Linked DNA regions of Nothobranchius furzeri. The protein of the gene in region 1 interacts with the protein of each later gene in a pairwise test. Links are inferred from orthologs where the notes say so. Each region holds a gene or a part of one and is shown on either strand. Other genes may lie near its edges.

What was found.
Region 2: the proteins of txlna (region 1) and transcription factor BTF3 homolog 4 interact in binary tests that used the Homo sapiens proteins (3 or more experiments, as listed by UniProt). The two-hybrid records come from large-scale screens. The link is inferred for Nothobranchius furzeri from reciprocal best matches to the Homo sapiens genes TXLNA and BTF3L4.

The regions. Positions count from the first base shown.
Region 1 is NC_091751.1:3,229,135-3,236,733, forward strand, and holds the start of txlna (alpha-taxilin), read left to right. Parts: upstream 1-3,016; 5' UTR 3,017-3,029; coding exon 3,030-3,129; intron 3,130-3,529; coding exon 3,530-3,709; intron 3,710-7,237; coding exon 7,238-7,534; intron 7,535-7,599. UniProt on the Homo sapiens protein: May be involved in intracellular vesicle traffic and potentially in calcium-dependent exocytosis in neuroendocrine cells.
Region 2 is NC_091751.1:41,996,601-42,004,146, forward strand, and holds the start of transcription factor BTF3 homolog 4, read left to right. Parts: upstream 1-3,341; 5' UTR 3,342-3,579; intron 3,580-4,046; 5' UTR 4,047-4,052; coding exon 4,053-4,106; intron 4,107-6,484; coding exon 6,485-6,598; intron 6,599-6,876; coding exon 6,877-7,078; intron 7,079-7,546. Other genes in the region: txndc12 (thioredoxin domain-containing protein 12), read right to left, coding at 697-780, 1,066-1,135, 1,228-1,301, 1,664-1,716, 1,902-1,962, 2,879-2,978.

The sequences.
Region 1 (7,599 bases):
ATATTTTGACGCCTTGGGTGTGAGAATGTGTTGGACAGACTGGTACAACGCCCGCATCACTGCAGATGCACACCAATCCGCCTGTCGATCTCACACTCCAGTTCTCCCTCACTCGTGAACAAGACCCCAAGATACTTAAACTCCTCCACTTGGGGCAGGACCTCATCCCTGGCCCGAAGAAGGCATTCTACCCTTTTCCGAATCAAGACCATTGTCTCAGATTTAGAGGAGCTGATTCTCATCCCAGCTGCTTCACACTTGGCTGCAAACCGCTCCAGCGAAAGCTGAAGATCACGTTCTGATAAAGCCAACAGGACCACATCATCTGCAGAAAGCAGAAACTTGATCCTCAGGCCACCAAAACGGATGCCCTCAACACCTTGGCTGCGCCTAGAAATCATGTCCATAAAGGTTATGAACGGAATGGGTGACAAAGGGCAGCCTTGGCGGAGTCCAACTCTCACTGGGAACGAGCCCGACTTACTGCCGGTAATGCGGACCAAGCTCTGACACCGGTCATACAGGGACCTAACAGCCTGTATTAGAGGGCCTGGTACCCCATACTCCCGAAGGACCCCCACAGGGCCTCCCGAGGGACGCAGTCAAACGCCTTCTCCAAATCCACAAAACACATGTAGACTGGTTGGGCAAATTCCCACGCATCCTCCAGGACCCCCCTAAGGGTATAGAGCTGGTCCAGTGTTCCACGGCCAGAACGAAAACCACATTGCTCCTCCTGAATCTGAGGATCAACAATCCGACGGACCCTCCTCTCCAGAACCCCTGAATAGACCTTAGCAGGAAGGCTCAGGAGTGTGATCCTCCTGTAGTTGGAACACACCCTGCGGTCCCCATTTTTAAATAAGGGAACCACCACCCCAGTCTGCCAGTCCAGTGGAACTGCCCCCGATGTCCACACGATATCAGCCAACATAGCCCCACAACATCCAGAGCCTTAAGGAACTCGGAGCGGATCTCATCCACCCCTGGGGCCTTGCCACAGAGGAGCCTTTTAACCACCTCAGTGACCTCAGCACCAGAGATTTGAGAGCCCAACTCAAAGTCCCCAGACTCTGCTTCCTCGCTGGAAGACGTGTCGGTGGGATTGAGGAGGTCTTCGAAGTATTCTGCCCACTGATCCACAACGTCCTGAGTAGAGGTCAGCAGCACACCGTCCCCACTATAAATAGTGTTGGTAGTGCGCTGTTTTCAACCCCTGAGGCGCCGGATGGTGTACCAGAATCTCCTCGAAGCTGTACGGAAGTCTTGCTCCATGGTCTCACCGAACTCCTCCCACACCCGGGTTTTTGCCTTGGTGCCTGGTGTCCACCAGCGGGTTCGGGGGTTGCCACTACGACAGGCACCGACGATCCTGCGACCACAGCTCTAGTTGGCCGCCTTAACAATGGAAGCACGGAACAGGGTCCATTCAGACTCAAGGTCCCCCGCCTCCCCCGGAACATTTTGGAAGTTAGGAGGTGGGAATTGAAGCTCCTTCTGACAGGCGTTCCCAGCAGACCCTTGCAATACGTTTTGGCCTGCCTAGTCTTACCGGCATCCTCCCCCACCATCTGAGCCAACTCACCACCAGGTAGTGGTCAGTAGACAGCTCGGCCCCTCTCTTCACCCGAGTCAGATGAAACAACAACAAAGTCGATCATCGAGCTGCGGCCTAAGGTATCCTGTGCCAAGAGCACATATGGACACCTTTATGTCTGAACATGGTGTTCATTATGGACAATCCACAGAAGTCTAATAACAAAACACCACTCGAATTCAGATCAGGGGGGCTGTTCCTCCCAACCACACCTCTCCAGGTCTCACTGTCGTTGCCCACATGAGCGTTAAAGTCCCCCAGCAGAACGAGGGAGTCACCGGAAGGAGCACTCTCCAGCACCCCCTCCAAGGTCTCCAAAAAGGGTGGGTAGTCTAAACTGTAGTTTGGTGCATAAGCACAGACCACAGTCAGAACCCGTCCCCCCACACGTAGGCGGAGGGAGGCTACCCTCTCAGTCACCGGGGTAAACCCCAACGTACAGGCACCAAGATGGGGGCAACTAGTATGCCCACCCCTGCTCGGCGCCTCTCAGTGGGAGCAACTCCAGAGTGGTAGAGTGCCCAGCCCCTCTCAAGGAAACTGGTTCCAGAGCCAGAGCCATACGTTGAGGTGAGTCAGACTATAGCTAGTCGGAATCTCTCAACCTCACACACCAACTCAGGCTCCTTCCCCACCAGAGGTGACATTCCTTGTGCCAAGAGCCAGCTTCTGTAGCCGGGGATCAGACCGCCAAGGTCCCAGCCCTCGTCTGCCACCCGTCACACACTGCACCTGACCCCTTTGGCCCCTCCCACGAGTGGTGAGCCCATGGGAAGGGGAACCCACGTTTCCTCATCGGGCTGTGCCCGGCCGGGCTCCATGGGTGAAAACCCGGCCAGCAGGCGCTCGCCTACGTGGCCCACCTCTAGGCTTGGCTCCAGAGGGGGGCCCCAGTGACCCACGTCCGGGCGAGGGAACACGGTTTCCATTTATTTTATTCATCATAAGAGGTCTTTGGGCTGCTCTTTGTCCGATCCCTCACCTAGGACCTGTTTGCCATGGGTAACCCTACCAGAGGCATAAAGCCTCATTTAGCTCCTAGGATCATTGGGACACTCAAACCCCTCCACCACGGTAAGGTGGCAGCCCAGGGAGGAAGAGGGAACTACATTTATAAAATTTCAGTAGTTAGTACAAACACTTGCTGTAATTTTTTCTAAATAAAATGCATTTTTGTTAGTAGGTGAACTTGCTGTTTACTATTATTAAACCTTAAATTTTATATTAGCATAGGCCACATGTAAACCATAGTCTTACTAATTTACAAGACAGCTGTTCTGCAATGACAATAAATGTTTAATTGGTTTTTACCAGTTTTATCACTTTCTTGCTAGTATTTTTTTTTACATAGCAGAAAGAAGTTGGTGGCGGTAATGCACCATATCACCATTTGAAACCACCATTGAAAAGTCAAAGAAGAAGAATCAAAGTTATGACCGGAAGTTGTTTTTTTTTTCTAAGCCAGTCAGCTACACGCTGTTCAAGAAACCTGCAGCTCAGAAAAATTAGCCGTTTCCTCCTGGAGTCTTCAGGTAAACAAGTCTGTGTTAACCGTAGAGTCAGGGGAATGAGGTAACGTTTCGCGTCGCCATAGCTTTAGTAGTTTTCTGTTTTTTCTTTTATGGTACAAAGTAACACCGGTTGGGTGAAAGTAGTTCAAGACAATTTTAGCTGCGTGCGTAACTGCTAACGAGGGCTAGCCTGTGCCAGCTAATGTAATCTGGAAGCTAATGGAAACTGAAAATGGTCCGAAGTGAAAGTACACATTTGTTTTCCGTTTTGTACATAAACGCCATGTCTATGTATCCAGAAACGTGCTAATATTTTCGATTTTATGCGTGATTTTAAAGAACTTTATCGTCTGAACAGTTGGTGTATTTTATTGTCAAAGCCTTATTTAGACTCAGCGTTAGTTTCGTCTTTTATTCAAAGAGCTAAACATGAAAAATCAAGACACGGAAGAGTCTACCAGCCCGGGCAGCGAGGCTCCTCCACCTGCAGCTGGAGACACGGACGCTCCACTTCCACCTGCACCTGCTGAAGGCAGCAGCCCCAGAGAGATGGAGCCACAGGCTGGCCCTCCACCACAGGAACAGCAGGGGGAAAGCGGAGGTGAACTGCCTTTGGTTTGACTTTCTTACTCGTCCGTCACACTGTGTGAATTCTCAGTTTTAGAACAAATTAGATGAAACAGCACAAACCTAATTAATGGTTTGGTTGTCATCAGACTGAAGTGGAGAATCTTGTCAGTAATACCTGATGTCATCTGGTTTCAAGATTAACATACTAGAAGTCAAACTTTTATTGATGCAATCAAAGCTTTACTTGTACAATAAAATGGTCTTCATTCTTCACGTGTACTCAATCCATACATATCTAGATTATGTCATTTTTATTGTTATATGTCCTGATGCTGCCGACAAGTTATTTTATGCACTGATGTCATTAAACACAATCACACAGTTTAATAAACAAGAGTTTTTAAGGTTAAGAGATCCATAATAAATTAGTTTTGGGGTATTTTCTCATTACTGTAACGTTGTGTCAAGAACAAACTTACTTCAACATTTAAATAAAAGTAGGCCATCACGTCCTTGATGATATTGTGATAATTGTTTTAATGCCTCAAGTGCGATTCCTTTTAGAAGGCACATCATAAACAAATGAATCCCAACAGTTTTCCGCGTGACTGTGTGGGACACATACCATACCATACCATATTTATTTATTTATAAAGCACCATTTCAAAATAGCATGGCAGCTAACCAAAGTGCTGTACATAAAAAAAGCCAAATGCTTGACCAAGAACCACAATAAGAACAGGCAAAAAACATAAGAACAAAGCATAAATAGTCGGAGATAAAAATTCCTACTAAAAACCATAAAATAGAACAGTTAACAGCACTATAAAAATAAAATAATGCGACGAATAATAAAAACATTTGAAATGTCCCAAATAAACCGAAATAAAATACCAGATGGTGCGAGGTGCCAAAAGTGAGCAACTAAATCATAAAAATGGAATTAAAAACTCAAATCCGGTGCTAGATTGTCATGAAAAGTGTCACGGAGGCAAGGCAATGCTAAAGAAGTGCGTTTTCAGGGCCGACTTGAAACTGCTAACAGAGGGAGCCAGACGCACACGGAGGGGCAGGGAGTTCCAGAGTTTTGGGCTGAATAAGAGAAGGCACGCTCCCCCCGTGATTTGTACCAAACCTTCGGAACAACAAGCAGCAGATGATCTGCTGACCGAAGGGCACGGGTGGGAACATATGGGGTCAGCAGGTCCATCAGATAGGATGGGGATGGGCAGTACAAAGCCTTGTAAACATATAACAGGACCTTGAAGTTAATCCTAAATTAGACTGGGAGCCAGTGTAAATCTGCGAGGATGGGTGTGATGTGCATGCGTCTGTCGGTGTTGGTTAAAAATCTGGCCGCGGCATTTTGAACCTTCTGCAGTTTGCTTAAGGCTGAAGCATTAATCCCAATCAGGACAGAATTTGCGTAATCCAGACGTGAAGTAATGAAAGCATGAATGACTGACTCAAGATGCGGGCGTTTGAGGATTGACTTAAGACGAGTGATGCGGCGGAGTTGGAAAAAGCAGGACTTGACAGTAGCGTTGACTTGTGAAGACATTGAAAGGTCAGAGTCCAGTGTCACACCTAGGCTAGTGGCACCTGATTTGAGATTGAGTGGGAGAGTTGAGACATCTAAAGCACCATTCATGTTAGTGGGGCTAAAAAGTATGGCATCTGATTTGCTGTCATTTAACCGTAGGCAGTTTTGAGAAAGCCAGGATCTGACCTGGGAGAGGCATTCTGACATTATAGAAAATGAGTGCTGTTGGTTGATTTGAAGGTAGATCTGGCAATCATCTGCATAAAAGTGGTAGTTAACCCCGACGAGACTTGCTAAAATCTTACCAAGTGCTAGTATGTAAATTGAAAAGAGGAGAGGACCCAGGATGGAGCCCTGTGGTACTCCCCATGGAAGTGGGACATTGGGAGAAGAGCAGTCTCTAACATGAACACTAAAACACCGACCATTAAGGTACGACTTAAACCATTCCAGGGCAGTACCGGTCACACCCACCCAAAATTGGAGTCTGTGAAGTAGGATGCTGCGGTCAGGTCGAGTAAGAGTAACCGCACATGGGAGCCAGAGTCAGTCAGAATCAGGATGTCATTGAGTACCTGAATGTGTGCAGACTCTGTGCTGTAATTACGTCTAAAACCTGACTGGAATGGGTCAAGAAGCCCACTGTCATCTAGGTGAGAAGTAAGCTGCGTGAGAGCCAGTTTCTCAACTACTTTTGAGATGAATGGAAGTTTTGAGATTGGGCGATAACTGGCACAGTCAGACTGGTCAAGGCCTGGTTTCTTCAGTAGCGGCTGAACAACGGCATTTTTAAAAGCAGCTGGAAACACACCAGAGGAGAAGCTGGAATTGACACAACAGCAGGGGCCACCGCTGGAAGGACATCGCGCAGCAGTCTTGGAGGAAGGCTGTCCTCTGGAGAGCCTGAGGGCTTCATAGCCAAGATTAGATCAACCAGGGAAGAGGGTGTCACATGAGCAAAGCAAGAGAATGAGGGCGGACAGTGAGGTTCCACACAGGTAACCCAGCCTGAGTAAGAGAAGCTGTTCTAATTTCCTGGATTTTATGCAGGAAAAAGTTTTGAAACTCATTGCAAAGAGCCCCTGTAGAGGGACAAGAGTTGGGAGATTCTCTAAGCGATAGTACAGAGGTGAGGACACTGTACAGTTTCTTCTGGTCGTTTTTATGCCTAGTGATTATATTTGCAAAATATCTGTTTCTAGCTGTGCGGACAGCTTTCTGATAGCGGGTCAAAGGATCCTTGAATGACTGGTAGGAGATTTGCAGCTTGTCCTTCCGCCACCGGCGTTCGCAGACCCTACATTGGCGTCTTAGGGCACGAGTCTCCTCATTGAGCCAAGGGTCTGCCACAGTTTTTTATGCCTGGATCTTAGAGGAGCGACTGCATTTAAAACAGTTGAGCAGGTAGAGTTGAAAGAGGTCAGCAGCTCCTACACAGGTGGAATCAGGTTGGGAAGTGCATAGAGTCACAGCTAGGCTAGATGCTAGTAGATTGGTGGTGAAAAGGGGAAATTATTCTTGTGAGGTGTTGATTATGTTGCCTAGTGGATGGAGGTGTCAAGCCACAGATATTAAAAATAATAATAGAATGATCAGAGATACATGCAGAGTCAAAAGTCAGATCCGAGATACAGATCCCAAATGACAAAACCAAGTCTAAAACGTGCGATCCTGAATGGGTGGGTGACTGGACCTGTTGCTGGAGACCAAAACAATCTAAAATGTCTAAAAAGCCACCAACAAGAGGTTTGTCAGGGCAGCAAACATGTATATTAAAATCACCAAGCATAATCCCACGGTCATATTTTGGAAGAAAGTCTGTTAAAAGATCAGAAAATTCCGATAGAAAGTTGGAATTGTAGTTCGGTGGGCGACAGCAGAGAATAAACAGCAGCGGAGGACTGAAGTCCACCTCATAAGCCATAATAGTAAGTTTTTTAGTCACAAACTAAATCCCCTTTCATGCAACGTGTTCCAGGAAGTTTCTGAAATCCTATTTGAATGTTTTTCTGGTAGAAACTCTGCCTGGGTCAGCGTTAGCGCCCCCGGCTGCAGCAGCGCCCCTGTCCCAGCGCGACATGGCTGAGGAGCTGAGCCGGCAGCTGGAGGACATCCTCAGCACGTACTGCAGTGAAACCATTTCAGACGAAGCCAGTGCCTTGCTCAACGGTCAGTCTCACAGCCCAGTTTTCAACGGGCTGATGTGTGAGAAGGATGGAGACAACCCAAAGGCAGAAAAAGTCAACGGGGGTCACAGCGGTGCTGAGAAAGAGCAGAAGAAGAGTCAAGACAAGAAGAAAGTGAAGGGCCTGGGTGAGGAACTGAACTGTGTTAAATGTTCTGTAGGCCCGTTATTTTCCTTCACCTAACAGCTTCTG
Region 2 (7,546 bases), about 39 Mb from region 1:
GAAATGATATTTTCTTCTTCTTCTTCAAAACACCTTACCCCATTATAGAAAGCATGATTTGTCAGAAATTAGCACTGACCTTTAGACATCTTTCAAGACTTCTAATTTTAGTATTTTATGACATTTATCAAACATTTTAGGGCAGTACTGGCACTTCTATGCGTCAAGTTAAAAACAGGTTAAATCAATCCTTTTTTTTGTATCTGTTGTTCTTATTGAATTTGTATATTTGACTTTTTATGGTGTATTAATACTGTTGCTACTTTTGCGTATTTGTTTTATGGGACGACGGATGGAAATAGGCATTTTTGCTAAATCTGGGGTAATTACGTTCATTAATAGGAACAGTCCCATTCAAATAATCAACAGTTTTAAATAGAATCTTTAGGCTCCTTGCTACTGACAACACCATACAAAGACACCATTTGTTTTAATTTCTCGCGTTACAACATCAATAAGGTGATTTCCAAACAGATACCAACTGTAAACTTGCTGGATTTCTATTTTTTCTTACTTTAGAACACTAAATCATCTTTTGGTTTTCCTACAGTGTTTTCATGACACCATCCTTGCTGGGATCATCCTAAAAATTGCCAGTGTCCATATAAAAAGAATGAAATTGAAAGATTTTAGTTTCTCTTCCTTAAGAAAAAGTGGAAATAGTTTGAGACATTTGCACAGAACGTAACCCCCTACCCTGCTCTGCTGTGCTGTAGAAGTACTTGTAGTTGGGATTCCCATTTTTGTTGCTGATTTCTGGATGGACTTTGCCTCTCGGATCTGTAAGTGGAACAAACAGGTTTTTTAGTAGTATGGTGCACGTTTATTGATGCTCCTTGAGTGTATGCAGGCTTTTAAATGTGATCAGCAGGGCAAAAGGGACCAGCAGCAAATTCCCAGGGAGCTGTCCCACCGATGGGATTCCTGTCAGGACATGTTTAAAGGCCCCGGTGTGATCCCGCTCCAAGAGCTGCTCAGGCTCTGCTATAGTATGTCGCTTCTTGAAGAGCCACTGCTTTTTTATCGTAAAGATCTCAATCGGGTTTTATGCAAATGAGTTCATACCGAGGAAAAGAATCCGAGGAATGTATCCACCGTCTGGGCTGAAGGCTTCATCCTTGGGCTCCTCTTCATCCTGTCATAAACAGTTACAACTTTAACTACCTGATGCATGACTGCTGCTTTAAGGAAAATGAAAACAAAATTAAACCAATTGCTGTTTCTCACCTCCACATTCACCATTACAAAGTTGTGTGCCAGTTCAGAGATTTCCTTGGATTCAGCAAATTTGGGCTTCAGGGCTGATTTGTAACAAATAAGAAAAGAAAGTTATTTAAAAATGTGACTCTTCTTATCTCTACTTGATAGTTTTAGAGTAAAAACTTTGAACATTCTGAAAAGAAGCCTTTCACAGAGCGAAAGCCGGTATGGGCCATTGCCTTCCTTGTTTTTGAGGAAAATCTGAGCTAAATGACAACTTCCTGGAAGTACTTCTGTGTTTTGGGATTGGCAAAAAAAAAAACTAAAACCAGATGGAAGTAACTCCAAGATCAAACGCCTCACAAGTCGGACCAACTTCACTGTTGCTTGTATTATTTATGAGTGCCAGTGGACACCAGAGTTTTGTCTGGCATTCCCAGAAAAAGAAACAGTAAGTAAATACCTTTGCAGGCTCCACACCAGCTCTTGTGGATGATGAGCATGATCGGCAGCCCGCTGTCAATTCACCAACATGGACACATGCATCAAAGTCAGTCAGAACAGTAAATATACAACGTAGACTTTCTTTATATAAACCGGAAATGCAAGATTTTTAAAAGGAAGGGAGTTGGGACCCAAATGAAAATGTTTCTTGTTCCTCCAGATAATATTTACACAAGAGGCTTCAAACAGGAAGCTACCTGGCTTCAGCTTCCTTCTTCCCATCTTCCAGCGTCCTCCAGTGGATATTGTCCCCAAATCCTGCAGGGTTCATGAGCACAACAGCATTGTGTAACTGGAGTTAAATTTCCACACAAGGGTGGGTCTGGCCTAAATACAGAATCAATACAAAGAACTGGGACAAATAACTAATATAACTGGTATGTTATGTTAAGGCTAAACTTTTAAGTAAAATAAAATCAATTATTTTAAGAATTGAACGAGAAACTTAATGGTTACTTTCTGTTTTGGTGGAGATAATTATTAATTTAATCAAATTGAATCGGAATTAAACAATACAGGTTTAACAGACCTAAAGTATTGTTTTATTTTTGCTTTAAGTCAAATGAGGTGTTTGTAGAAGAAGAAGTATCATTTCTATAGCGCCTCTCAAGATAAAAATCACGAGGCGCTTCACAAAAACAAAAAATGTAAAAATATAAAAAATAATTTAGAAAATGTTTAAAAATATATTTAAAATGAGCAAAAAATAGACAATTGTGATTAAAAAATGTAAAGAAAGAAAGAAAGTGAACAGGAAAGAGGGGAATCAGTGGACGAGGAAGGTGAAATAGGTAGGGAGAGCAGAATAAAGAGAGTGGTGAAGAAGAAGTTATACAAAAGCCAGCTTGAACAGGTGAGTTTGAAAGCTGCTTTTTAAAGGAGACCACTGAGTCCACTGATCTCAGGCTCAGGGGGTAGTCTTGTAGAATTAACTTTTTCGTGTAAGATTTATTAAAATGCATAAAATACATTTTCAAGAAATAAAGCATGAGTGTCTGGAAGTGAAACAAGTTAGTGACACTAGACACAACACGCCTGTTTATTAGTCTTCAAGGACGCACACAATGTGATCCGGGATGCTGACAAAGAACAGCAGCTCTCATTTCTACCACACTTTCAATGAAGCTGCTCCAGCCTGCTTAAAAAACTTATTTTCTCCTATATATGAACTCACCTCTCCCACTGGCGGCTTCCGCAACCACATCAAAACACGAAAAAGACAATAAAACCTGGAAAAAGGAGAAAGCAGCGACATTTACTACAGACAGTTGCATGTTTATTGCCTTTCTTTCCCACAACTGCGGCTAGCAGGCAATGGTAGTAATGGAAAGCTCAATAGTCAGTGACCCGGATGTGCAACCGCAACATTTCACAATAAAGGTTTTGTCTCGGAATAAAAATCTTAACAGCGCGCATGCTAGCCATGGTAGCGCGCGCGTGTGTCTCGCTTGCTATTGGCCACCAGCTTTTTTTTTTCCCATTTAGAGACGCGTTCACGTGACATTACATCTACACAACCGCGTGCTCTTCAATGCAGTGTTATGTCAAGCTAGACAAACAATGTTGGTATAAAACCGGAAATGACGACGAAAATTGCAAAAAATAAGTTAACCAAAGGAAAGCAGAAAGTTGTAAGTAATTAAGTTTTTGTTATTAAATCTTTGCTATGTATATATTAAATTTATTTCGTTAGTAAAATAGCATTTTTCCCCAAATTTGTGTAAAGTAATTACAATTTCTGCACGTGGATGAGATTTATTTGGCAAAATAATCACCGGAAGTTGTATGTTAGACTACTAATTTGACTGGTGTCTAATCCGTCTTGCTCCGTTCCTAGCAAACACAGTTCAACGGGCTGTTAATTCACAATCAGAGGTAAATATACCGTTTAAATTAGCGCTAAATATTTTATTTGATGTTGTGAAAGCCGTATCTTTTGGTGTGGCTCAGGCTTTAAATAGATAGTCAAAGTTATTTCACGGCATTATTTTACCGTTAGCGTTAGCTCAGTCTACCTCGATATTTCTCAACTAGCTAGCTTCAGTTAAGCACCAACGTAAGTTTAAAATAACTCATTAATTAATTAAATTAATTTCTTTATTTTGCTTTGTTTAAATTAATTTCTTTGATTTGATGGGGTTCATGTGAGTAAAAATGCTAACTGGCTTGTCTAAATTCTGCTAACCTGCTGCTAAGGTGTGAAGAAAGGGCTCTTGCCCAACACACTGCTTAGCTAGCATTCTTGTGTCTGAACGGCTAGCTGGTTGGGCGGTGTAAACTTGTATATTTGGGTTTTTAACGAGGATTTAATTTTTATTTTATTTGTTTTATTAAACCAACAGAACATTATGAATCAAGAGAAGCTGGCCAAACTTCAAGCTCAGGTCCGGATAGGAGGAAAGGTACAATTTAAAGCTTGACTTTTTGTTGTAGTTCCAGATGTGATGACAAATGTTTAGTAGTACTTGATTAAAATTAGTCGGACATTTTATTTTAAGAAGTTTAAAGGTATTTGGAGTCGGCCAAATCTTTTCTACTGACTTCAGCATTCTCTTTGTTAGGTGAAGCTCTGGCCCCTGCATCTGTGACCTTTGTGGCTTTGTGGCATTAACCGTCAGGTCTTCAGCCACACACTAGATGGCATTATTTTTAATTTTGTTGGGAAAAGTTCTTCCGGCTCCAGCAGCCACATAACATTTTCTACAATAAAAAAAATACTATCAATTAAAAATATAGTCCTTCCCTGGCCTTCCTTTTGCGACTAATGTCCTTATTGTTATTAATTTCTACATTAAATACGTGAAACCGTGTAAAAATCAGGGTAGTGCAGAGAGCTTTGAAGGGGCGAGCGCTCAAAGTTAAAAAGGGGGCACTTATAGAACAAAACTTTTAAACAGATTCATGATCCAACAAGTTTCAAGATTCAGATATTCAGAAATGAACGAAATTGAACTACAGAACCTCTGCACGGACAAAACGTCAAAAACACTAAATCAAAATACTTCAATAAATGGGACACATCCTGGCTGCAAAGCATTGCACCTTAAAATACAAAATTTTGTTTTTACTTGTGTTTATGTAGACAGATAAACTTGTTATGATATGTAGATAAATATGTAGATACATAAACTTGTTTATATTCAGTACAAGTTACATAGATTTTTTTCTTTGCTTCCGTTTGTTGAAAAATGAGAAAAGCCCCTTGAGAAAATAATCGTGAATTAAATCGCAATTGCAATATTGAAGAAAAAAATCGCTATTAGATTATTTTCCAAAATCGTTCAGCCCTAGAAGGATACAAATTTCTATCTCAGCCAGCTGGGGGTGTTGTCAGTTGTGCTCGGTTTGCAGAGTCTGCGCCAGCTAATGCTGCAGCGCAGGTACTGAGATACATATCAGAGCAGCATATATGCAATTGATGCACATTCGTGCACACGCACATTCATCTAAACCTCCGCTATGTTCTGAAGAGCTATCAGTTCAGCATACAGATGGCAAAGTCACACTGTTGTTAAAAACAAACTGTATGATCCGACTGGTAAAATGAGCATATTAGTGTGTCATACGATTGATAAAACAAAATGTGTGGTGATCTGATGGCTAAAATGGCTTATTAGGATGTCATGCAGTTACTAAAACAAAGCTTATGTTGATCAGACTGATAGGACCATCCATCAGTGTCATGCAGTTGTTCTACACAAAGTATATGATGATCTGATGGGTAAACTGGCACATCAAAGTGCCATACAGCTCAAAAAAGGCATGATTTGACAGACGTGTTGTCAGGTGGGCATATGCTGGGGTTGAGCAATATATCAAAAATGTATCGTTATTGAACTGTCTGACACTAGTTGATATTGTTTTTTCCATGTAAATGAATTTGATAACAAAAAAAATGAAAAGATGTGTGTAGGTTGGCCACGTTCATGTCCCTTTAAGAAGCTGTACCACCTCGAGTCATGTGACGTGACTCGCATAATACACGTGACAGCCCCCATCTAGTGGACAACTTTCTGTGTATACATGTAGTTATCGTCCATTTATCGAGGTGAACGCCTCACTATACTGTGATATTGATTTTAGGCCACATCGTCTAACTCATTATGCTGGAATATACACATATATTTTGAAGAATGGGGAAAAGCTGTGCTTTAAGAGCAAGTCACCACCAAATCAACTTCTTTTTTGCTGATAAAATATATAAATGAGTGTCTAACCATGCTGTAGACATGTGTAGTCAATAATTTGGCACTTTAGTGCATTTTCATTCATTTAAATATTCTGCCTGAAACTGTCAGTGTTGCGCTGTCGTCAGGTAAAAACTCTGCACTACATTTGATTTTAAATCTGCTATTGCTACTGGCTAAGAGGTACACAATGACATTAGCTGGTACCATATGATGTCACAATGCTGTTGGGAGCATGTTTGTGTGCATTTGTTTGCAGCTCCGCCCTCTTGTCTGTCAGGCAACAGCATTTGTTGCATTTTTCACACATGAAGTGGGAGTAAGTTTGTTTCTTGTAGGGGGTGACTTGGTCTTTAAAAAAGCTTTTATGCCCAAATTATATATGAAAAATCTGTGTGGCAATCTTAAGGGAGACTGTGGTTTTAGCTAAATGCAGAATTTATCAGTTTTTGCCATTTTATGAGTTAAATGAACCATTCTTACAACATGTAATGTGATGTCAGAAATGTATGACTGAGAATCTTAATCACACCGGATATGGAAACCTGTTAGATTTAATGTCCTGGTTCAGTATGCATTTGATCTCCTCCTAGGGGACCGCACGCAGGAAGAAAAAGGTTGTTCACAAAACGGCGACAGCTGATGACAAAAAGCTGCAGGGCTCGCTGAAGAAACTGGCAGTGAACAACATTGCTGGGATAGAAGAGGTGAGACATCAAAGGAACATGGATGACACCATCGTGGTTTTTTAAATATATTTTTGTCTTTGAAAGTTGAATCTTTTATCAGTGATGTGCCATGAGGCATAAAACAGGATGGAAGCCTGAGTTAAGGGTTCTCCCCAAGATCTGGCTTATTTTTAGAAAGCTCTCAGCGGCTACACCTACCTCAAAATGTTTGAGAATACAAACAAAAAAAAAAACATACAGATGTGGGATTTTTGCATTGACTTCTCTCATCCATCCCGTTTTCCCCACCCTTAAAGGTGAATATGATAAAAGACGATGGGACGGTAATTCACTTCAACAACCCCAAAGTTCAGGCGTCTCTGTCTGCCAACACCTTTGCCATCACGGGCCACGCTGAGACCAAACAGCTGACGGAGATGCTGCCGGGCATCCTGAGCCAGCTGGGAGCTGACAGCCTCAGCAGTCTGCGCAAGCTGGCCGAGCAGTTCCCTCGACAATGTGAGCACACGCAAACCGCATGTGAACTGTGTCAAATTTCAGCTTTGAAGTCACTCAGGAGGATTTTCTGTCAAATGAACGACTGAAAGCAAAAGCTTTATCACCACCTGTAGGACTGGAAAGAAATGGTAAACCCATAAGTTGTAAACAGTTGCAGATGACCCAGAATTGGCCTCACAGCCAGTTTTCTACACACAGGAGCCATGTTGGATCATTAGTACTGTTGAATGTGAGTCAGGGACCCACCCTGTCCTGCCGGTCATTGACTTACTCAACCTAGACATGGAGGCTTTTCCTGTTTAACAGGAATCGCGTCTTCTCTGCTGTCCCCCGATGTGTCTCTGAAGACACGTGGACATCTGAGTCCTGACCCGAGGAACCGGTTCTTGTTAGTTTGTGATAAGTGTACTGTTACTCTTTCACGGTTAAATAAAAAAACACGTGAATTTAAATCAATTGGACACAAAA